Oryctolagus cuniculus: one gene and its partners. The protein of the gene in region 3 purifies or fractionates together with the protein of the main gene of each other region. This does not show direct contact. Links are inferred from orthologs where the notes say so. Each region holds a gene or a part of one and is shown on either strand. Other genes may lie near its edges.

The links. The genes of interacting proteins can lie anywhere in the genome.
Region 1: the proteins of ARID4B (region 3) and SUDS3 purify together in Homo sapiens (affinity purification with western blotting; 3 studies listed by BioGRID, with this or other methods). This does not show direct contact. The link is inferred for Oryctolagus cuniculus from reciprocal best matches to the Homo sapiens genes ARID4B and SUDS3.
Region 2: the proteins of ARID4B (region 3) and SAP130 fractionate together in Homo sapiens (co-fractionation; 4 studies listed by BioGRID, with this or other methods). This does not show direct contact. The link is inferred for Oryctolagus cuniculus from reciprocal best matches to the Homo sapiens genes ARID4B and SAP130.

The regions. Positions count from the first base shown.
Region 1 is NC_091452.1:14,545,181-14,552,372, forward strand, and holds part of SUDS3 (sin3 histone deacetylase corepressor complex component SDS3), read left to right. Parts: intron 1-1,902; coding exon 1,903-1,998; intron 1,999-2,846; coding exon 2,847-2,908; intron 2,909-3,066; coding exon 3,067-3,088; intron 3,089-4,107; coding exon 4,108-4,213; intron 4,214-7,192.
Region 2 is NC_091434.1:118,396,233-118,403,424, forward strand, and holds part of SAP130 (histone deacetylase complex subunit SAP130), read right to left. Parts: intron 5,293-7,192; coding exon 5,044-5,292; intron 4,883-5,043; coding exon 4,757-4,882; intron 1-4,756. UniProt on the Homo sapiens protein: Acts as a transcriptional repressor. May function in the assembly and/or enzymatic activity of the mSin3A corepressor complex or in mediating interactions between the complex and other regulatory complexes.
Region 3 is NC_091444.1:54,582,430-54,590,297, forward strand, and holds the start of ARID4B (AT-rich interactive domain-containing protein 4B), read right to left. Parts: upstream 5,075-7,868; 5' UTR 4,985-5,074; intron 4,957-4,984; exon of another isoform or gene 4,494-4,956; intron 3,927-4,493; exon of another isoform or gene 3,864-3,926; intron 3,670-3,863; 5' UTR 3,621-3,669; coding exon 3,615-3,620; intron 1-3,614. Other genes in the region: GGPS1 (geranylgeranyl pyrophosphate synthase), read left to right, coding at 6,039-6,063. UniProt on the Homo sapiens protein: Acts as a transcriptional repressor. May function in the assembly and/or enzymatic activity of the Sin3A corepressor complex or in mediating interactions between the complex and other regulatory complexes.

The DNA.
Region 1 (7,192 bases), on a different chromosome or scaffold from region 3:
TCTGTAACTTTCACTCAGCTCATAATGCCTTGACTTCTTAAAAGGACTTTACATAGCTTTTTTTTCCTTCTTAAAAATATAATAAAAATCAGAATTGCTGAAATTCTGGTTATGCCAGGCACTATACTCAGGGCTTCACTTGTATCATTGTGTAACTCTTAGAGTACTCTGCTAGGGAGAGACTGATATTTCCATTCTCTACACGAGGGAGCGAGCAACATAGAGCATTTATGCAGGCTGCAGGTACAGATTTGTTAGTGTTCATTATGTCTGTGATGGTTATTTTACCTTTACTTGATTCATAGGGAAAAATTCAATTATTGCCCATTTTTTGGGAGCAAGATCCAGAAATATTTGTTGTTGTATGTTTCCTAAATAGTCAGATCCTGCACATTGCTGTAGTAGAATTCCATAACCCTGCCTGTCTGCTCTGCTGACAGTGTGCGTCATTATCAGTGAGCTTTATCTCATGATCAGGTGTGACCTCATCTTGTCATTCTGCAGAAAGTTTTGTGAGGCCCACACAGCGTGCCCCAGCTCTTGCTGGGTAGGGGCAGTCTCCATGCTGCAGTGCAGTCTCAATGTCTGATGTCCTGTAGTGTGGCACTTGGCATAGGAACAATGCTCTGGTTACTTGGAAGATGGGCTGGGTCTCTGCCCATGGAAACTATAACAAAGGGGAATATTGGATGGATGTTATGTGGGAGTTTGCCAGGTAGGATGAGGGGCAGGCAGAGGCTTGAAAGGATGGAAGTAGGTTGCCTGTGGGTAAGAGAGCTCACAGCTGGAGTATAGGGTGAGTGTCAATGAAGGAGAAATGAGCAAGTCCAGAAATAAGGCATGGCATTTGTAGAGTGGCAAGCCAGTGCTACGTTTAGTAAGAAGAGTGAGTGAGAGGCAGGATATTCTAATTTGTATCTTAGGAAGGTCACTTGAGCACAGGTGGTCCTTGGGGTAGGTTAGTGAATAGATGAGGGCATAGTTTTGCAAGAACTGATGTCTAGTGAATTTGATGCTTGCGTGAAGGCCGTCACAGAGGACACTTTGGTTTGCAAGGATGAATAGGTTAGATGGTCCTGAGATGCAGAAGAGGCAGCTGTGGGAGGGGAGGAAAGAGATCTTTTGGAATGGAGAGAGAGTGTGGTGTTGGGTGTAGGCTGCCATTCCAAGGGGTGGCTGGAGCGAGAATTAATGATTGGGAATTGGGGTCATCGTTATTTGAGGACCAGGCCAGCAGGAAAGAACCCTGAGGAGGTGACAGAGCAGAGATTTGTGCAGCCAAGGCTGGGAAGGCAGGGATTGTAAGGCAGGGAAGTCAGCTGCAGTTCAGACTACAGAGAGAAGTCAGGAAGAATGAGAACAGGCTTTTCTTATGAGCCTTCAGTATGTCATTCTTGATGGTCAAGTAACCACAAAAGACTGTAAGAGGAGAAAAGGGTCTGAGTTTGTAAATGGAGACTTATTATACAAATGTTGGCACAGAGGCCAGTGGCCTCTGAAAGAGCCTTCTGTACCAGTGAGCTTCCCTCCCGTCTGTGGGAACAGCAGACATCTGTGACCTGAGACGACCCCCAGGTTCCTTTCACTCTCGAGATCCGATGAATCTGTAGCTTCGTAATTTGAGGGAGGGGATATCCCCTAGCTTTTGAGGTTGGAGAGATGATTGCAGTGTTAGACTGTGGGGCTACGTTTCGAGAGGATTGTACACCTAGATCAGCTGGTCTTGAATCTTATAAACATGAACTCTGAAATCTAATATGAGCATCTGGCTTGGGCCATGTGTAGACCAAACATTCCCCAGTGAAATGGTTCTGCATGAGTGACTCTGGGGTAGGTAATTCTTATAGTAGAGAAATTCTTACTGACTGGGAATTAGATTTGTCCATTCTGTTCTTGCCACAGATTCTATGGAAGTGAAACCCATCATGACCAGAAAGTTGCGGAGGCGACCAAATGACCCTGTCCCCATCCCAGACAAGAGGAGAAAACCTGCTCCTGATATCCATTTGGATCAAGTTTTAGTCACTTTTTTCTCTTAAGATTGTAGAATCATTTGCCTGTCCATTTGATAGAGTATATATGGCTGTCGTCTTACAGAGCATAGCAACATTTGATTGGAAAGCATCTGTGAGTTATCCATCCACAGGTTGCGGCTGGGCCATTTTATTATCGCAGTCCGTAATTGCTAATTGCTGCTATTAATGGGAGAGATTTATAGAGAGGAGTTATTTGAAAAGGTACTTTGTGTTGGAAATCCAGCCGGGGCAACTGAAAAATTAATGTGCCTTAATTTTTCCACCTGTAAAATGAGGATAGTAATATCTGCCTTTATGTGCCTCAGTTACCTAAATCCCTAAAGTAGTGGATTGAAAACTGTTCTTAAAACAGATGAGATTTAATTCAGATATAAAGCAGCCTCTTTAATCATAAAAATGGGAATGATATGTGGGGAGAAGTGTGTGTGTGTGTGTGTGTGTGTGTGTGTGTATGTATGTATGTATGTATGTGTGTTTTGAGTAAAAGTCTTCAGATCTTTGGAACAAAAGCAGCCTATAAATTCAGGATGAAATTCTTTACTATTTCCTGTGTTCTTGCTATTTTACATACCTACTGAGTCTCATTTTACCTTCTCATCATAGTTTGTAAGGTTGGGGATGTAAATTGTTTTTTATAGCTGGACACCACGACATTTAGTAGGGAAATCAACTTTGCAGGAAGCAAAGTATTATAAAAGTATCATTTAACAAAGCTACATTTTGTAAGCTCTGTAATACTGGTGCCATTTTGTTGCCTTCTGTTTCTTTGCAAACCGTACTTTTCAGACACATTCCTTTAACTCTCAACACCTCAGCTAAACTATTTGTTAACAGATGAACAGATCATGGAGGATCTGAGAACGTTAAATAAGGTACAATTTGATTTTTTCTTAAACTTCTTTGGAAGTCAAAGCTTGACGTGGTTTCCTGCTTCACTTTGTTGTATTGCTTTTACATCATGATACCTCTGACACCTTCAGTTGCTTCTGAAATGATTTTCTCTAAGATTTTTTTGTTGTTCTTCCTACAGCTTAAGTCACCCAAGAGACCAGGTAAGTGCATTATGTTATTGGCGTTTGCAATCTTTTTATTGTATTGTTGTAAAAGCATGCAAATACATGTCAGTGAATTGTTGATGTTTCAAAAATAAAATATTTAGTGTGGGCCCAAAAGCAGTCATGATGAAAACTGAAAGGGATCTTAAGTGTGTCCCTCCTTTGACTATCTTTTTTTTTTTACCTTGGTATGTCATTCTTGTCTTTTCTTTAGGATTTATTATAAAAGACTTTTGACTGGTAGAGGTTCTTTCTATGTGGGCATCAGGCGTAAGATTCAACTTGATATGCATTTTTTTGACAATGAATTATGAAGGGTTTTCCAGTAGGACTCACATTCTGAAGTGAAGCTAGAGGCGTTTCCACGGCCTGATTCTGCTGCCGCGTCCTTGCTATAGGAGAAGCTGACCCAGTGTTCACAGTGGTTTCTTCCAGGGCAGCACTTGAGGGCATGCCAGTTTGCATACTGGAATAATTGCTTGGTAAGGCCTTAAGTGTGGGGTCACTTACACATCCCTCTCCCCACTAAGTTTATTGCAGGCAAAAAGCAACTTGGTGTAGACACAGTCCTGAGTGCCATAGTAGTCCACAGGGACGTCTTGAAGGGGAGAGGGCTTTGAGTGTGTGACCCTACTGTAGTTCTGGAAATTGTCGTTTTTTGAAAGAGATTTTCATTGTTCCTGCCTTTTTTGGACTTCCGATCACCAGGGATTTATTCTTACTCTGATTGTGTATAACTTACACATTGGACCTTAAAGCTTCCTGAGCCTCAGGTTGCTCTTTTGCTCGGAAGGTTAAGTCTGTGACTTGACTACCTCGTTAGGTTGCCTTGAGGGTCAAATTAGATGCAGTGTACAAGAACTGTGTTGAATTCCCATGCATTACTAACATTATAGGAGCTTGAGGGTCATGATTCCACTGCATTCTGATGGCAGTTCAATTATAGCATGCTGGGTGGCGGGCTCAACACGTGTTTGGTACGTACTTAGTCATTCCAGTGTGTCTGGTTCCTCCAGCATCCCCATCCTCTCCTGAACACTTGCCTACTACACCTGCAGAGTCTCCTGCCCAGCGGTTTGAAGCTCGGATCGAAGATGGCAAACTGTACTATGATAAAAGATGGTATGTTACGGGAACACCTGGATTACTTTAAGAGTCTAATAAGAACCAGTTGGAGAGGATCTGGGGCTCTCTACAGTTGTGTGTGTGTGTGTGTGTGTGTTTTTTTTTTTTTTTTTAAGACTTACTTATTTATTTGAGAGGCAGAGAGAGAGATCTTCCATGCTCTGGTTCACTCCCCAAATGGCCACAATGGCCAGAGCTGGTCCGATTTGAAGCCCGAAGCCAGGAGCTTCTTCCAGGTTTCCCATGTGGGTACAAGTGCCCAAGGACTTGGACCATCTTCTGCTTTCCCAGGTGCATTAGCAGGGAGCTGGATCAGAAGTGGAGTAGCAGGACTCAAACCTGCCCCCATATGGGATGCTGGCACTGCAGGTGGCGGCTTTTAACTGCTGTGCCACAGCACTGCCCCCATCTACAGTTGTTTTTCAGAGCATAACTGCAGAATAACTTCACAGTAGTACAAGTGGAACTCCATTTGAAAATGTTCCAGCAGTTACGTGTTGGACACCTATGTTGGATCTCAGCACAATTTTTGAAGTGTGTGTGTGTCTCTGTGTGTGTGTATTTAAGAAGATGTATTAATTTATTTTGAGGGAGTTATGGAGAGAAAGGGAAAAACAGAGAGATCTTCCACCTGCTGGTTCACTCCCTAGGTGGCTTCATTGGCTGTAGTATATGTTTCTTTTTGCCTCCTCTGAACTCTGCCCCTGTGTGCTCAAGTTAATAGGTGTTCTGCACCTAAAAGGATTTTGTGATCACATCAGTTTGGGAGAAGACCATGTTAATTAAGATAAATGGCGGGGAGGGCCAGTGCTGTGGCATAGAAGGTTGAGCCGCTACCTGTGGTGTGAGCATCCCATATGGGCGCCAATTCTTGTCCCAGCTGCTCCTCTTCTGATCCAGCTTCCTGCTACTGTGCCTGGGAAGGTAGTGGAAGATGGCCCAAGTCCTTGGGTTCCCGCCACCCATGTGGGAGAACTAGAGGAGGTTCTTGGCTTCCGCCTGGCCCAACCCCAGCTTTTGTGGCCATTTGGGAAGTGAACTAGTGGATGGAAGATTTTCTGTCTCCTCTTTCTCAGTATATCTGCCTTTCAAATAAATAAATCTTAAAACAACAAAAAGGTAAATGGTTTTTGTTCTTGTAGCCTTCTTTGGATCCTGTGATATGCTGAGGTGCTCTGAATTTCTAAGATTTTAGGTATTTTTTGATAGCTGTATCTTTTCTTCATGCATCATCCTGCTATACAAGTGTACCAGGAAGCTTACTTGGGGGAATTGCATCCTAAAGCATTTCTACTTGAGAGTGAAGAGTGTTTTAGACCTTCAGACTGACAGCATTTTTTAACTAGAAAGGAAGTGGCAAAACAATATGAAAAAACCGTAAGATCTCATACATTTATTCATTCAACAGACACTTACTGTCTGCTTCGTGTTAGGTGTTCTGCTAGGTGTTAAATCACCCTGGGTCTTGCCATGTTTTCACAGTGATTTTAATTCTGACACACTTCTTTCTGCTCTTTGGCCATACTCGGGCTTACTGTTCTGTGTAAGTCAAAGTAGACACATGATTACATCCTGCCTTTCCACTTGGTTACATGGAGAATGTTTATGCTTTGCTGTAATTATCATTTTTAACGACTATATAGTGATTCTGAGTTTCAGTATCTTTATTTAGCAAAAGTTCCAAAATTAGGGTAATGGTTATTTTGAAACTTTTTAACTATTTTAAGGGAAAAAGTCCCCAGAATGTTGTTAGTTGGTTACCTTATATAGTACATTGACAAAATACTCTGAGATCTTGTCATGCCTGAAATAATTTTCTCCTATTAAGTTCCAGTCAGTGAGTTGGCTGGTAGGTGATGGAGTCTTGCTGTGTTTCTAAGCCTGATCATAGTGACCTCTGTCCCTTTTTTTTTTTTTTTTTTTTTTAAGATTTATTTATTTACTTGAAAGTGTTACAGAGAGAGAGAAGGAGAGGCAGAGAGAGAGGTCCTTCATCTGCTGGTTCACTCCCTAATTGGCTGCAATGGCTGGAGCTGCACCAATCTGAAGCCAGGAGCCTCCTCCTGGTCTCCCTTGCGGGTACGGGGCCTAAGGACTTGGGTCATCTTTTACTGCTTTCCCAGGCCATAGCAGAGAGCTGGATCAGAAGTGGAGCAGCTGGGACTTGAGCAGGCACCCATATGGGATGCTGGCACTGCAGGTGGCAGCTTTACCCATTATGCTACAGTGCCAGCCCCAACCTCTGTCTCTCTAATTTGGCTATTTGATGCTCTTAAAGTCTAGCTACCACTGTATGTTAACGTTGCTTATCAGAGCACATCACCACTAGGTGGCAGGCTCTAACAGCTTAACACAGTGGGGCAAACTAAGATGAAAAATGTTTCTAATAATGAAAACCAAATAACCTTTAAAGATCAAGCCCACACATAGAACCATCTTTGGAAATGATGAGATTTATCACTAACATTTTTATGGATCTGTGAGTCTTAAAGCCATGTGATATTTCAAATGATGTTCATTTTGTAATTACGTTGCTTTGGATCTCCATCCCTCCCTCCTTCTATGCTTAATCCTTAGACTTTATGAGACGTGTCTTGAGGCTGAACATGCAGTAAAATAAAACTTTTTTTTAAAGAAAGGCTGCCCATTGACTGATGTTTCATAACATAAATGGAGCAGTCACATTTGATGTGTTAGGACTCCTAACCAATTCAAAGGAATTTTCACCATCTTTCTCATATTAGCAGCAAGCATTTAAAAAATAATGTATCTGGAAGCATTTTACTTTGTTGTTCGGTGTATTTCAAGAATGTTGTTTTCTGTATTTTGAATGTTTTTCTTTGGCTTTGATAGAGCTCATAATAAGTCATTGCAAGGTGGGTCCCTCCTTCCCTGATGCTAATTAGAGGCTGTTGTGGGAGTCCTGGCCCGCACTGGTTGTTGCAGAACCAGCTTTGCGCATATCACCAAGTTCTT
Region 2 (7,192 bases), on a different chromosome or scaffold from region 3:
GGAAATAGTAACAGCAAGTTCAGGAGTGGGGAGACAAGTACTGAGAACTGCTTCTACCCGTTATCTTAACAGCAAAGTATGACCCACACTTCTGAAAAGTAGGCAACAAAAACTGCCCATGAGAGTGACCCATGATAAATATGCTCACAGCCCCTAAAAGCTGTATGTATGAAATTTGTATTCATTAAATAAAAGCCTTCAAAAAAAAAAAAAAGATTTGACCGACAACCAAAAAACAAACAAACCGCTCACAGCACTAAGAGCACTAAGAGGAGGCACTGGCAGAAGAGGTGAGGGAGGGCATTATGACCATGCACGGCAGGTGCAACAGAAAATACTGACGAAGAAACAGAAATGACGAAATTCTCTAGAGGGGCTCAAAGCAGAACTGAGGTGGCACCAGGATAATGAGCAGCGCCCCAGTGAAATGCAGGGCATTTCTCTGAGAACCAACATGGGATGGGGCACCAGGAGGGGAGACAGAGAGAGAGAGAGGAGAAGGAATCCTCCAAGAAACAGTGGAAGAAAATTCCCCAAATTTTTGACAGACACCCTACACATCCAGGAAGCTCAAGGAACAACAAGTTTGACAAATGCAAAGAGAACCACAAATACACCTCCATAGTAAAAAATGCCAAAAGTCAAAGACAGGGAGAACATTTTCAAACTAGCGAGAGAAAAAAATGATTCTTCAGGGGTAGGTATTTGGCCTCGCAGGTAAGACCCACCTGGAATGCCCACATCCCATATGAGAGTGTCCAGCTCCCAGTCCCGGCTTCCTGCTCATGTGTACCCCAGGAGGCAGCAGCTGATGACTCAGGAACTTGGGCCCCTGCCACCCACCCAGGAGATCCTGACTGAGTTCCTGGCACAGCCCCAGCTGGTATGAGCATCTGTGGAGTGAACCAGCAGATGGGAGCTTTCTCTCAAATTAAAAAAAAAGAAAAAAGGGCACTGAAATTCTTTTAAAAATACTGAATTTACAAGCAAACCCCGGTATAATTAACAGCTGACTTCTTGGCAGAAACCACAGGGGCTGGAAGGCAGTCGGACGACAAATTCAGAGTACTCAAGGCCATGTAAGAGGAATCTAGTTTTTCTACTTCTGCACTGGCATTCACAATTGTCACTATTTTCTAACTCAGTTGTTTGAATGTGGTTTTTTTTGTGATCTCATTGTTCCTTAATTTGCATTTCTGTAATAGTTGCTAATGTTGGACTTTAATTTTTTTAATGACTTTTACTGTGCCAGGAACCTTTCCAGGAATTCAGATTGATTTCTCATTGTCTCCGTAAGATTCCTCTTGGCTGTGCCACTTCTCAGCCCTTGCTTATTTCTGACATCCCTGGCAACTGTGAAGCTAACGGTCAAGTATTCGGTACACTGTCCTGAGTCCAATGAATCTCTCAGGATCAACTGCCAATGGGTTTCTGAGAGGAGCACCAGAGACTAGGTGCCATGCTCCTCACATCCTAGGAAGGACACACAGCGTTAGTCAATGTGGCTCAGCACAGCTGGCGCTGACCTCGGCACCTGGCAGACATCTGTGAAGTTACCTCCTTTGCCTGTCTATACTGTACAGCATGGAAGAAAACCCCTCTGCATGCCCTGCAGTGCTATCCCATTGTATTCTTTTTTTTTTTTTTTTTTTTTTTAATTTTTGACAGGCAGAGTGGACAGTGAGAGAGAGAGACAGAGAGAAAGGTCTGTCTTTACCATTGGTTCACCCTCCAATGGCCGCTGCGGCTGGCGCACCGCGCTGATCCGAAGCCGGGAGCCAGGTGCTTCTCCTGGTCTCCCATGCAGGTGCAGGGCCCAAGGGCTTGGGCCATCCTCCACTGCACCCCTGGGCCACAGCAGAGAGCTGGCCTGGAAGAGGAGCAACCGGGACAGAATCCAGCACCCCGACCAGGACTAGAACCTGGTGTGCTGGCACCGCAAGGCGGAGGATTAGCCTATTGAGCCGCAGCGCCAGCCCCCATTGTATTCTTTTTTTTTTTTTTTTTTTTTTTTTTTTTTATTTTTTGACAGGCAGAGTGGACAGTGAGAGAGAGAGACAGAGAGAAAGGTCTTCCTTTGCCGTTGGTTCACCCTCCAATGGCCGCCGCGGTTGGCGCGCTGCGGCCGGCGCACCGCGCTGATCCGATGGCAGGAGCCAGGAGCCAGGTGCTTCTCCTGGTCTCCCATGGGGTGCAGGGCCCAAGCACCTGGGCCATCCTCCACTGCACTCCCTGGCCACAGCAGAGGGCTGGCCTGGAAGTGGGGCAACCGGGACAGAATCCGGCGCCCCGACCGGGACTAGAACCCGGTGTGCCGGCGCCGCTAGGCGGAGGATTAGCCTAGTGAGCCGCGGCGCCGGCCCCCCATTGTATTCTTGATAGTCAGGATTTGTGTATTCTCTGATTCTTTTTTTCCAAGAACTAGTTTCTCATTTTTGCTATTATTTTTGTTTTCAATTACATTTACTTCTGCTCTTTTTGTATTAAGCTTCTTTTTTTTTGGGTAAAGGTTTATTTATTTAAAAGGCAGATACACAGAGAGAGAAGGGGGGAGAGTGGGAGGAAGAGAGAGCAAGCGAGTGAGAGAGAATCTTCCATCTGCTGGTTCACTCCCCAAATGGCCACAATGGCCAGAGCTGAGCTGAGCCAATACCAGGAGCCAGGTTCCCACATGGGTGGCAGGGATCAAAGTACCTGGGCCATCCTCTGCTGCTTCCCCAGACATATTAGCAGGGAGCTGGATCAGAAGTGGAGCAGCCAGGACTTGAACCAGCATCCATATGGGATGCTGGCGCTGCAGGCAGTAGCTTAACAAGCTGTGCCACAGCACCAGCCCCAGCTTTTTTCTTCTGAAGTATACTTTACCTGAAAGCAACCTCTTTTTTTTTTTTTTTTTTTAATAATCCTTGTACACATTTTCCCATTCTTTTATTGTCAGTCTACCTATGTCACTGTAGATAGCATAACTGGATTGTGTTTTTTCATTCACTCTGTCAATCTGCTTTTTGTTTTTTAAAGATTTATTGATTTATTTACTTGAAACACAGAGAGACAGAGAAAGAAGGGAGATGGGGAAACAAATCTTCATCTGCTGATTCACTCCCCAAATGGCCACTAAGGCCAGAGCCAGGACAGGCTGACTCCAGGAGTCAGGAAGTCCATCTGGGTCTCCCACGTGGGTGGCAGGGGCCATCTTCCCTTGCTTTCCTAGGAGCATTACCAGGGAGCTGGACTGGAACCAGGGCAGACAGGACATGAACCAGCACTCACATGGGGTCTGCATTTCAGGCGGCAGCTGAATGTGCTGTACACCAAGCCAGCTCCCTGCCAGTCTGTTTTAATTGGTATGTTTAAACTCTCTGCGTTTAAAGCAATTGTTGATGTTCTGGTTTCAGTTTACTATGTTACTGTCCATTTTCTGTTTGCTTCCTGTATTTCAGCTCATTTCCCTATTTTTCACCCCTGTCAATTATTTCCTATAACATTCCAGCTTCATTTATTTTAAGAATAGGATTTCAAAACTTAGGTAAAGTCATTCAACTAAAGTTTAATAATTAAGAGGTTTGGTGCAAAGGAGGTTTCAGGCTCATAAACCTTTCACTTGTCAAGTTATCTTTCCCAATCAAGTATTTTTTACTATTTATTTTTATTTGAAAGGCAGAGTGATGAAGAGTGAGGGGAGATGATCTCTCATCTACTGGTTGACATCTCAAATGCCTACTACAGCCAGAAATGGGTCAGACTGAAGCCAGAAACTCCATCTGGGTCTCCCATGTGGGTGGCAGGGACCCGAGCACTTCAGTCATCTCTGCTGCCTCCCAGAGTGTGCATCAGCAGGAAGCTGATTCAGAAGCAGAGGTGGGACTTGAACCCAGGCACTGGAATTTGGAATGTGGGAATCCCAAGTGGTGGCCACAACACCCACCCTCCCGAGAGTTTTGGAGGAGGCGGCCCAATAAGCAGTAAGAATGTTTTAGTAAGGCTGCAAATCCCTGAATGTTTTATTACTGCGGAACTCTCCAGGCAGGAACAGATGTCTAGAGGTCGGAAGCCTGTCTCCACTGAAGGCTACACTCTCTGACTTCCACTAGTCTCATCTTTTCAAATCTCAGAGTACAGTCAGCCCCTCTGTATCTGTGAGTTCCACATCTGTGGATTCAACCAACTGCAGATTGCAAATATTTGGGGGAAAAATTTGCAGCTGCTCTGAACATACCCACACTTTCCCCTTGTTATCATTCCTTAAACAATACAGCATAGTAGCTATGAGGGTATTCAAAAGGCTCATGGAAAATGGAGTTAAAAGACTAGCTTGTTTTGGTGCAAAAACTTCTGAAATCCATGCATAGTTCTTTCATAATGCATGTTTTCCATGACTGTTCTGAAGTGCTTAAGACATCTTAGCAACCTAGGAACTATGTCAAACAGCAACCATACACAGCTCTCCCAGGAGCGCCCTGGGGGCTAAGAGCTCATTCTGCTAGCGCTTAGGGAGCTGTTAACACAGGGAATCGACTAAAGCCAAGGCTGTCAACTTAGCCATTAGACTCGAATTCCAATAAACACACATAACTTTCTGGGACAACCCAGATACTTCACTTAAACAACCACAGTCTCCAAAACAGTTACAACAAAAATTTGGTGTTTTGGAAACTGAAAAATTCTGATTATTTCTCTTTTTATATTGTGGTTAGTATACAGTCAAGTGCTATCCCCATTGCATGCATTAACACCAGATGTCTCTAGGGAAACTAACCTTTGACCCGGACGTCACTGTACCTCTGAAAGTGATGATAAGCAGCTTTCCAGGGATTCCGATAGTGACGGAGCAAGGTGATGGGAGGCCTCGGACGCACTGGGACATACCTCACACCTTCCTCATCTGTTCAAGAGGAGAGAAAAGAGGAGTATCAATAGTTTACTGTGTATCTTCAGTCCCATCAGCAACCCGTGGGTTAACACTGAAGCCATAAAGAAGCCCAGGACGGACTCCCGACTTCCGTGGGCAGGGCAGGCGACAAGAGCGGGCCTCAGCGACGTTACCGATGTACTCCTTGGGAGGAGACTTGCGCTTCTCGGCCTTCACCAGGAGACTCTTGGCAGTGGACTTCTCGTCATCAGTGCTGTTTGTCTCCATCATATCTCCTTCTTCCGTGGAGATCACATGCTGCTGCTTTCGCGGCTTCTTCCTTGGGGAGGCACCGGGTGGTAGGTCACTTGCAGGCATGGACAGGTTGTTGGCTAGCAATGCGAGCGATGGCGACACAGTGTTGGTAGCCAGGGGAGGAACTGCTGTGAGAGAAAATGCAGCAAACACAGCCATGAGAACCCAAACTCAACAGAGAACTCGCTTTGCAGAATTGACAGTCGTTAGAAGGCAGTTCAGGCAGCTAACATGGACCACACTCTCCTGTGCGGGTGGGGGCTGTGCCAAGCACAGCAGCGCAGATGCCGTCAGCTACTTCCTAGTGCACCGGGTCCTCGTCCTCCTTAGTTGCAAGGACCCTCACTGACACGGGCACAGTGCCACTCAGCTCAAAGAATGTGTTGCAGGTGTGGTCATTTAAGATGGAATTGGAAGGGTTCTATTGGACTTCTAGGAAGTTTCCTTAAAAGGAAGGTTTGACCTTCTACTTCTCATCTTCTTTCTGTGACTCCAGAACTCAGATGTGATGGCTGGGGCTCCAGCAACCCCTCAGCAGCACTGTCTGTATACAGTGTCTCTGTTCTTCTGCTTTCTCCTGGACTTGCTCCCAGTCGGGCCTTTACCCTTCTCATTACAGGAAAACCACCCTTCTCGAGGTCTCTGCACCTCCGCGTGGCTAAACTAAGGGGTCACTGCTCAGTCCCGCCTCCCCACGGCAGGTGATCAGCACAGCAGGTGATTCCCTCCTCCTGGGAATGTCGCTGCCCTTTCCTCACAGGACATGCCATACTCTGGCTTGCGTGCCCACCACTCTGGCCCCTCTCTTCAGGCTCCTTTGCTGAATTCCACCTCCTCTCCTGCCTCACAATGGTCGCTGTCTACAGAGTGCTTCTATTTCTATCAGGATTTCCTCCCTGGATGGCCTCATGCAGGCTCATAGGGGTTGTTGTTTTTTTTTTTTTTAAACTTTCTAAGGAAGAGGAAGAGAGAGGTAAGGAGCTCTTCCATCCACTGGTTCACTCCCCAAATGCCTGCCACAACCAGGGATGGGGATGGGCCAGGCCAAAGCCAGAAGCCAGGAATTCCATCTGGGCCTCCCACTGAGTGTCAGGAGCCCAAGTACTTGAGTCCTCCTCTGCTGCCTTCCAGGCGCACTAACAAGGAGCTGGATTGAAGTGGAGGAGTCAGTATTTCATCATAGGCACTGCGGTATGGAACGCGGGCATCTTAGCTGGTGTCTTAACAACTAGGCCATACACATGCCCCTTAAAACCTTTTTTAAAATTCCAGTGCTTACTTTTTTTTATCTTAAAGCTCTTGTCACCTAAATGAGTAAGATACTAGATTCTTACATTTGTCTCCTTTACTAGAACATAAGCTCTAAGAGGACAGAGGCATACTTGCTTTGTCCCATCAGTGCTGGAACCGTTCCTGCCATTGAGCCCTGCAGCCTGAGCCAGGGCTGCTGTCAGCTTCTAACACAGAGAGCCAAGGGAATCATCCAAAGCCGGAGAATAGACAAACAGCCCAACAGAGAAACTTTCGTATCCTCTCCTGGGTTTCCCACGGCATCTTTCCGTCAATGTGTCAGACTAAACATATTCAGGAAAGGACATTTCATGGCATGATAAACCAAAGTAAATAGATACAAGTAAACAAACAGTGAGTTTTAAAAACATATACATTATTGCTGTGGCTCAGTGGGTTAAACCGTGGCCTATGATGCCAGCATCCCTTATGTCGGTTCAGGTCCCTGCTGCTCCACTCCAATCCACCTCCCTGCTAAAGGACCCCTGCCACCCATGTGGGAGACCCGGATGGAGTTCCAGGCTCCTGGCTTCAGCCTGGCCAAGTCTTGGCTGTTGGAGTCATTTGGGGAGTGAACCAGCAGATGGAAGATCTATCTCCCTTTCCCTCTCTCTTTCTCTGTAACTCTGCCTTTCAAGTAAAATAATAAATCTTAAATAAATAAATAGCCTTTTTAAAAAGCCATGAACCCGTGTGAGTGAACGAGGCCATCCAGGGAGGAAATCCTGATAGCAACAG
Region 3 (7,868 bases):
CAGAAAACTTTCAGTGACTCTCTGATTTAGAAGTCCTCTTCTGTCCTCTCATAGCACTTACCACAATTACTGTATGATAGAATAAACACTCTTATAATTCAGTCTGCTATATGCTTTGCTTTATTTTTCTGTTTCTTCTAGTAAATTGTGAGCTCCTTGAGTGGTCAGATAGCTTATTCACCTTTGTTCCACACTGCCTGACACGTGTAATGGGTTGTTACTGAACGAATGATTTATGAAAGGGGGCAAGGCAGATGGAAGGAAGGAAAGGGAAGAAGAGATGGAAGGCAGAAAAGGGGAGAGAGGAAGGAAGTAAGGGGGGATGCAAGGAGAGAAAGATTTTTAATTCACAGGCCTTTTAAAAAGAGCATTTGTAATCAGTCCATTATTTTTATATGGCGTAAGTCAGTGATTACTGAAGACAGAATAGTACATCTGAAAAAGCCAATCTACTCACATTACAAGTACAACCACTAAATCACTCAATCCCTTAAAGATTGTGATATATATCTAGTCCATCTGGCCCAATTTCATTTGAACATTTACTGCAATGTAATGACAGATGTTAATAACAGGCACAACATAAAAGCAGAAAAAGGTTTAGTTAGGAAAAAGAAGGAAATAAATCTGACATAATTAAAATTAAGTCTCAATTATTTACAAATGCTAATAATCTACCGTTTCCTAATTATGTCCTATCACTGATGTTGAAGAGCACAAAAAATAAATTCAACATCAGTGTTATACATGACAACATTACAGCAAACTGCTTTTGTATTACAAATCATATTTCTCAAAAGTATACTATGTAAAAATATGACAAGATAAAAGCACACTAGCCAGTAAAGCGGCTGTATTTATTTAAATAAATTCTTGAAGATAGTACAACAGGAAAATTTCTGCTCAAACTGGCACATACAAGAAGACTTTCAAAAAGTTCACGGTAAATTAATGCAAAAAACTTCAGAAATCCAGGCATAGTTTTTCTGTAATATACAAATTCCGTGAACTTTATGCCACCTCATGTGCAAGGACATTTCTCTTTATTTTGGGACTTTCAAGCAATGACCAGAAACTGTTACTGTACTCTTTCAATTACCTCAATACTCTGTGACTTAATGGACTCAAAAAAAGTTGTCACTGACAGAACATACAATTCATATTTAAAAGCTTGCTTGGTGGCCAGCGCCGCGGCTCACTAGGCTAATCCTCCGCCTAGCGGCGCCGGCACACCGGGTTCTAGTCCCGGTCGGGGCGCCGGATTCTGTCCCGGTTGCCCCTCTTCCAGGCCAGCCCTCTGCTGTGGCCAGGGAGTGCAGTGGAGGATGGCCCAGGTGCTTGGGCCCTGCACCCCATGGGAGACCAGGAAAAGCACCTGGCTCCTGGCTCCTGCCATCGGATCAGCGCGGTGCGCCGGCCGCATCGCGCTGGCCGCGGCGGCCATTGGAGGGTGAACCAACGGCAAAGGAAGACCTTTCTCTCTGTCTCTCTCTCTCACTGTCCACTCTGCCTGTCAAAAAAATAAAAATAAAATAAAATAAATAAATAAAAAAAAAAAAGCTTGCTTGGTAAGATCCAATAAATGGTGTAAATCCTTCTACAGCTCATTTGTCATTATAATATTTAAATTAGGAACATGAAAAAAAAATTAGGTCCAACACAATCAACATTAAATATATCTGAATTGCAATTTTTGCTAAAGTAAAATATAAATCACAGGCAGCTTCGTATCTTTTGGCATAGTAAAAACCGTAAGAAATAAGCTAAGTTCTTAGCACTAGTCATTACTAGTAAATTCCCTAAGAGAGTACCTGTTACAACAACAGGAAGTTTTCTTGTATAAAGTTAGAAATTTCTCTTTCCTTTCAACATTACCAGCACATTTTTATAAAAGACAGTAAGAATGGAAATGGTGAACACTTAAACCTAGTAGTTCAAAAACGATACCAAAAATTTGCATTTTTCTAATACCATGAAACTTTTAAGACTAAAGTTTCCAACATACTTTCATTTTTTAGACAGACAAGTTTAAAAAAAAAAAGTGGGTGCAGAACGAAAGGAACAAAGAAAAATCTAAAAGAACTCCAACTTACTATATTTCTTTTGACCAAACATTTACAGAGTACCTAAGATGTGTCAAGCACTACACTGGGCACCGTGACAGATTACAACATTTGTTCCAAACTAAACCCTGAATTTACTCAGCTTCTACACTTTTTAGTATACATTATTCAACCCACTGTTTTCTTAAGAAATTTTCAACCTACATCAAGGAATGTACATGGTTCTCCCAATAAATCCACTTTTCACTATTTTACGCAGGTCACAGGAGTTGCGACCAACAAAAGGGATTCATTTCTAAAACCTCACCGGTTACGTTTTCAAGGAAGTGAGACAGCAACTCAGCAAATACGAACTGTTTCAGGCATTTTATGGTGTCCCAAAGTCAAGAAAGAATCTTTAAAAAGCTGGGCTAAATTACTTCGAATAGTGAATACTTAAATAACCACAGCTTTTACTTTTCTTCCATAAGCACAAACATTACAAATTTTAACTTAGACAAAGTACTGAAAAGGCAGTCTTGATTCTAAAGAGAAGTAAAATCTATTTCTGAAAAAACAATTTGAAGGAACTGTCAAAAGTAGATGACATTTACAAGCTAACGTGCTGTCTGTTGCATTCCTGAGCTTGTTAACACAATCTACCCCTTTAAAGCACCTCTGAATTTGTAACGGATGAAAAAATATCTGCTAGTAACTAACGTCCACCAGTTGAACCTAGACATTTTAGTTATCAGAAGGCTTTTTATTCTAGAGGGTAAAAAAAATAAGACTGCAGTCATTTACACATTCTCGAAAGAGAAAAAAAAAATGCACCTGTACTTCAACTGCTATAATTTCTTCCACCAACTAGACAAATTGCATTTTTCAGACCCTATCCTCCATTCAGTTAACATGTTTACATTTAAGAGGAAGCTGGCCATCAGTTTCTCACACATTACAATGCAACACAGCATCCAACAATTTGCAGGCTAAGAAGGCCTTTATAAAGAGGTGGGGGACATACAAGCTTAAATCTCTGGAAATATCTCTGGAAATACAGGAACAAGTGCCATCTCTGAACTGCGTAAAGATCATCAAAATTCTGTTTCAAGATCTTTGCATGATGATGATTTTTGTGGCTATTAAACAGGTTTTCTGCTAAAATTCACAGTACTATTTCCACACGAAATGAGATTTTCTTTCATCAGTGTAACCGACAGAACCACAATACAGTTCCGTTTCTAGAGTCAGATTACTTGACCTGCTTTTTGTTTTTACCTTTTAAAACACTTAGAGGCGTGCAGTTATTGCTACCGTTCCCTGTAAAAAGCCGTTCTATACGGAAGACTCACCCTCCACGAGATATCCTAGAACTAACTCCACAACTCCACAGCAAAGCCCGTGCACATTCCCACCAGCTGACCCCTATCGTCTCCTGGGAGGGGCTCAGCCCCAAGCCACCAAACACATCCTCCCCTGCAAAACTCGAAGGCCGCACACGACGACCGCGGCTCAAGCCCCTGCTTTCTGAATTCTAAAACCCAGAGGTTCTTTTTCTGCGGGCAGACTTACCTTCATGGTGAATCTGGGACTGCGTTCCGCTCAGAAACACCAGATTCACCTGCACCTGGAGGGGAAACAAAAGACACCCAGTTAACACCACGGGCACCCCTCTGCACCAGCGGCGGAGTAGAGAAGAAAGCGAGCGATGCCCGAAGCCCAGAGAAAGAGCCTTGCAGAGAGGGAATCGGCCCCGGAACCACCATGAGCCGATTCGGGGCTCCCTCTGGCCTCGCCATCCCCGCAAACACGGCCACCTACACAGCTCGGCAGCTTCCCGTCCCCATTGTCGGGACCCGACGGAGTTTCCCGTCTCCGACAATGACGCCATTTCTGTCAGTGAAGAAACTCACAACAAGCCCGGGGTCCGGCGCGGGGCCGGCCGCCCTCCCCCGCGGGCCTCGTCGCCGGGCTGAGCCGGTCCGCGCCCCCACCGGCCTCGCAACCCCGCGTCGGAGCCGGAGCCCGGCCGGGGGCCGCCGAGGGGCAGGACGGGCCCGAGGGCCGAAGGCAAGACCAGCCCACCCCAGAGCCTCTGCCCACGTCCCGTTCAAAGCCGAGACCCGACAAGTGCGAGCGAGATCAACATCTGCCCCCGCCGCGGGGACGGCGAGAGGACCGAGGGCCTGGGAGGCAGCACGGACCCCCACCCCGCCTGGGCCCCCAGCCGCGGCCAAGGGCCGCTAAACCGCTGAGTGTGCGGCCGCCCGGCCAGGGGGCGGCTCGGACTCGGCTGCTGCGGGGGGGCGGGGGCCCCGGGAGGCCGAGGCCCCGAATCGGGGCGCTGGGGAGACCACCACAGCCATCTACCCCCTGCTCCTCGACCGGGCCCAGCGACTCCCAAAAGGACCCCCTTAGAAGACCGCGAAAGCCCCGGAAAATAACCCCTACCTTCCTCGGAGGCGAGATCTGACCCTGGCACGTCCAGAGTCCCCTCTCCTCCACCCCCCCCAAAACCAGCAGGCCCGGGGGAGAGATGGGGAAGAAGGGCGGTGGGTCCAGTGGCTGCTGAAGCTGAGGCTCCGGCTCCTCCTCCTCCCGCGGCGGCGACTGGTACCTTTGTTTGGCGGCCGCTCGGGTTCCCTCGCTGGGGGGAGGGGGGACGACGAAAAATCCCTCCTGGACTGGAGGTCCGGGCCCCCAATCGCGCTGCCCTCCAGAGGACGACGGCGATGGACCCTCTGCGGCTCCCTCGAGGCAAAGGTCCAGGCGGTGGCCGTGGTGGCGGCAAGCTTAAGCCCAAGAGTCTCCCTCAGCTTCGGCGCCCGAGCTCCTCACTCCGGACTCGACTGACGGGCAAACATCGCTTCCCCCCCCACCACCCTAGATTCCCCCCCTTCCCTCCTTTCTCCCCTCCCCTAGTTTTCTTTCCCCTCCCCTACCTCTTTCCCGGATGGCCTCTTAGGCGACCTCGGATTGGTTATTTTTCTTTAAAACCCGCCTATACCCTCTTCCTACTGGTCCCAAGGATACAAACAACGACGCCATTTTCCCACCAGTTCTATGGAAACAGAAAGTTACGCCTCAAAGCTTCCTGGGAAATGTAGTCCAGCCAACCCAGGCCAACGCTCAAACCTTCGCTCAGGAGAACTGCACAACCCGCAAGGCCCCGCGCCGCGCGAGACGGGACAGGGAGGGAAAGGGGGCGGGGCGACAAAGCGGTGGGGAGGCGGCAACGACGCCTGCGCAGTGTGACCAGGATGGCGCATTTTCTTGCATCGAGTAATGCGGTGTCGCTGGCGGCTGAGGAGGGCGGAGAGTTCTGTAGTGAAGCGGGGGGAGGGATTCATGTAGGCATCGGGAGGAGCCTTGGTCTGAACTACAAAGTGGGAAGTTGATGCTGGGTGTGGCTACTCCCGGACCGGCGGCGTGAAAGTCGTGATATCATCGTTGAACCGTGAGCGGCAGTTCTGGCGGCTGGGGGGGACCCGGATGGCAAGGAGGGCGGAGGAGGATGGGGGGTGGACAGAGGGGAAAGAAAGAAAGGAGGGAGAGGACCCGGATGCTGAACCGGATTGTGTACGACTTTCCCATCCCCTAGCGTGAGACGGGGCGGGGGGTGGGTGACCCAGGAGGGCGGAAGAGGGCATCTGGGCTAGCATGGTAGACATTCGAAACTCTCTGCCAAGCCGCTGTTAAAAATCGGCGTCTTAAGTTATTTGAAGCGCCTGCCTCTATGTGTCGGGCAGTTTCCTTCAAACCCAGCATCTCCTGGAGTTCAAGAGGAAAGATTCGGTCTGTGCTCCGCATTTTGTGTGTGTCTTGTTTAGTAACTCTGAAACCAGGCCCTTCCCTTGAGGGGGAGGGAAAAAAGACTCTGTGTGGAATTTTTATTTTCTCAAAGCGAGCCGATGTTCTGATTCGTCCTGTAACACATTGGAAGGCACTTGCGTTCAGCCCTTCACATGTGTCCTAGGAAAATGTGGCGAAGCTAGCATGACCCTTCTTGAAGCTAAGTCTGGTGAGAGATGTGAAACTAAACGGACTCACCAGTGAATGTGAAATTGCAGTAGTGGCAATGCTACAAAGCAGAATTAAGTGGAGAATGTGAAACCGGGAATTTGGCTTAGGAAGATAACGGGAGGCTTTCCCAAGATAGAGCTGCAGGGGTAGGGAGCATTAACTGGAAGAGAAGCACATTCCAGACAAGAGGAGTTGGAAAGGCTTGTATCAGGAGGCAGCCCTTCTGAGTTTTTGTTCTTGTCCTAAGAGCAGTGGTACACCTTTCAAAAGTTCTCAATTGGAAAGGAGAGGGGGTGAGTTTGAACTGTGCAAAGGCACATGAGAAAGAAGTGAATGCAGAGATTCCCGCAAGGAGGCTACTGAGTTAGTGCTTCACCTGGTGGAAAGAGTGTATTGTGTGTGTTTTTTAAAAGATTTGTTTACATATTTATTTATTTATTTATTTATCTATTTGAAAGAATTATAGAGGGGGTAGGTGGAGGAACAGCAGAGACCCTCCATCTGTAGGTTCACTCCCTAGGTGCCCACAATAGCCAGGGCTAGGCCAGGCCAAAGCCAGGAACCCGGAACTCCATCCTGGTCTCCCAGATGGGTGGCAGGAGCTCAAGTACTGAGGCAATCACCTGCTGCCTCCCAGGCACGTTAGCAGGAAGTTGGATTCCAACCAGGCATTCCATCCACTGCAGCTGGGATGAACCCCAGGAACATGCTCTATCCCCAAGGAAGTATGAGAGTGATAAAGAAGCAGACGAGATGGCGATTAGCAAAGAATTTTATTGAAAAAGCAAAGAGAAGAACTTCTGTAGCCTAGAGGGGAACAGAATTCCACTGAAACTAACTAGTGGAGTTTATATACATAAACCTTAAAGACTCTACAGTGTGGCGAAAGCACTTTATCTTAGAATCTGTCAAGGGAGTTGCTTATCTTCCTCAGACTGCCAAAACTGTACAGGCATATGACCACCATAAACTGGCCACTGGTCACTCTGACGCCAGAGCCGCCTTTTCCCCTCTAATTGCCGAAACCCTTTCCTTTCCATGACAAGCTCTACACTCTCTGTCTAGACACCTGATTTTCCTTACTTTCCTCACATAGCATAAGCAGTGGCTTAACTGGCTGTGCCACAATGTTCACTCTCAGTTGTAGTCGTACAAAGATCCATTGATCCACAGTTTGACCAAATTTCTAGCATTTTATCAGTTTTGAAAGTGAGGACTTGTGCCAGCATTGTGGCCTGGTGAGCTGCTGCAGCTCCAGGATCCCATATGGGCACCAGTTCCTGTCCCAGCTCCCTTCTGACCCTGCTCCTTTTTTTTTTTTTTTTTTTAAGATTTATTTTTATTTATTTGAAAGTCGGAGTTACACAGAGAGAGAAGGAAAGGCAGAGGGAGAGAGGTCTTCCATCCACTGGTTCACTCCTCAGTTGGCCACAATGGCCAGGGATGCAGTGATCTGAAGCCAGGAGCCAGGAGCTTCTTCTGGGTCTCCCATGTGGGTGCAGGGACCCACATGGACTTGGGCCATCTTCTACTGCTTTCCCAGGCCATAACAGAGCTGGATCAGAAGTGGAGGAGCTGGAACTCAGACCAGCGCCCATATGGCATGCTGGCACTGTAGGTAGTGGCCCTCACCCACTACACCACAGCCCTGGGGCCCCTCCTGCTCCCTTCTAATGGCCTGGGAAAAGCAGCAAAAATGGCCCAAGTGCTTGGGACTTGGCCACCGATGCGGGAGACCTGAGGAACTTCCTGGCTCCTGGCTTCAGTGTGGCCCAGCCCTGGCAGTTGTAGCCATCTGGGGAG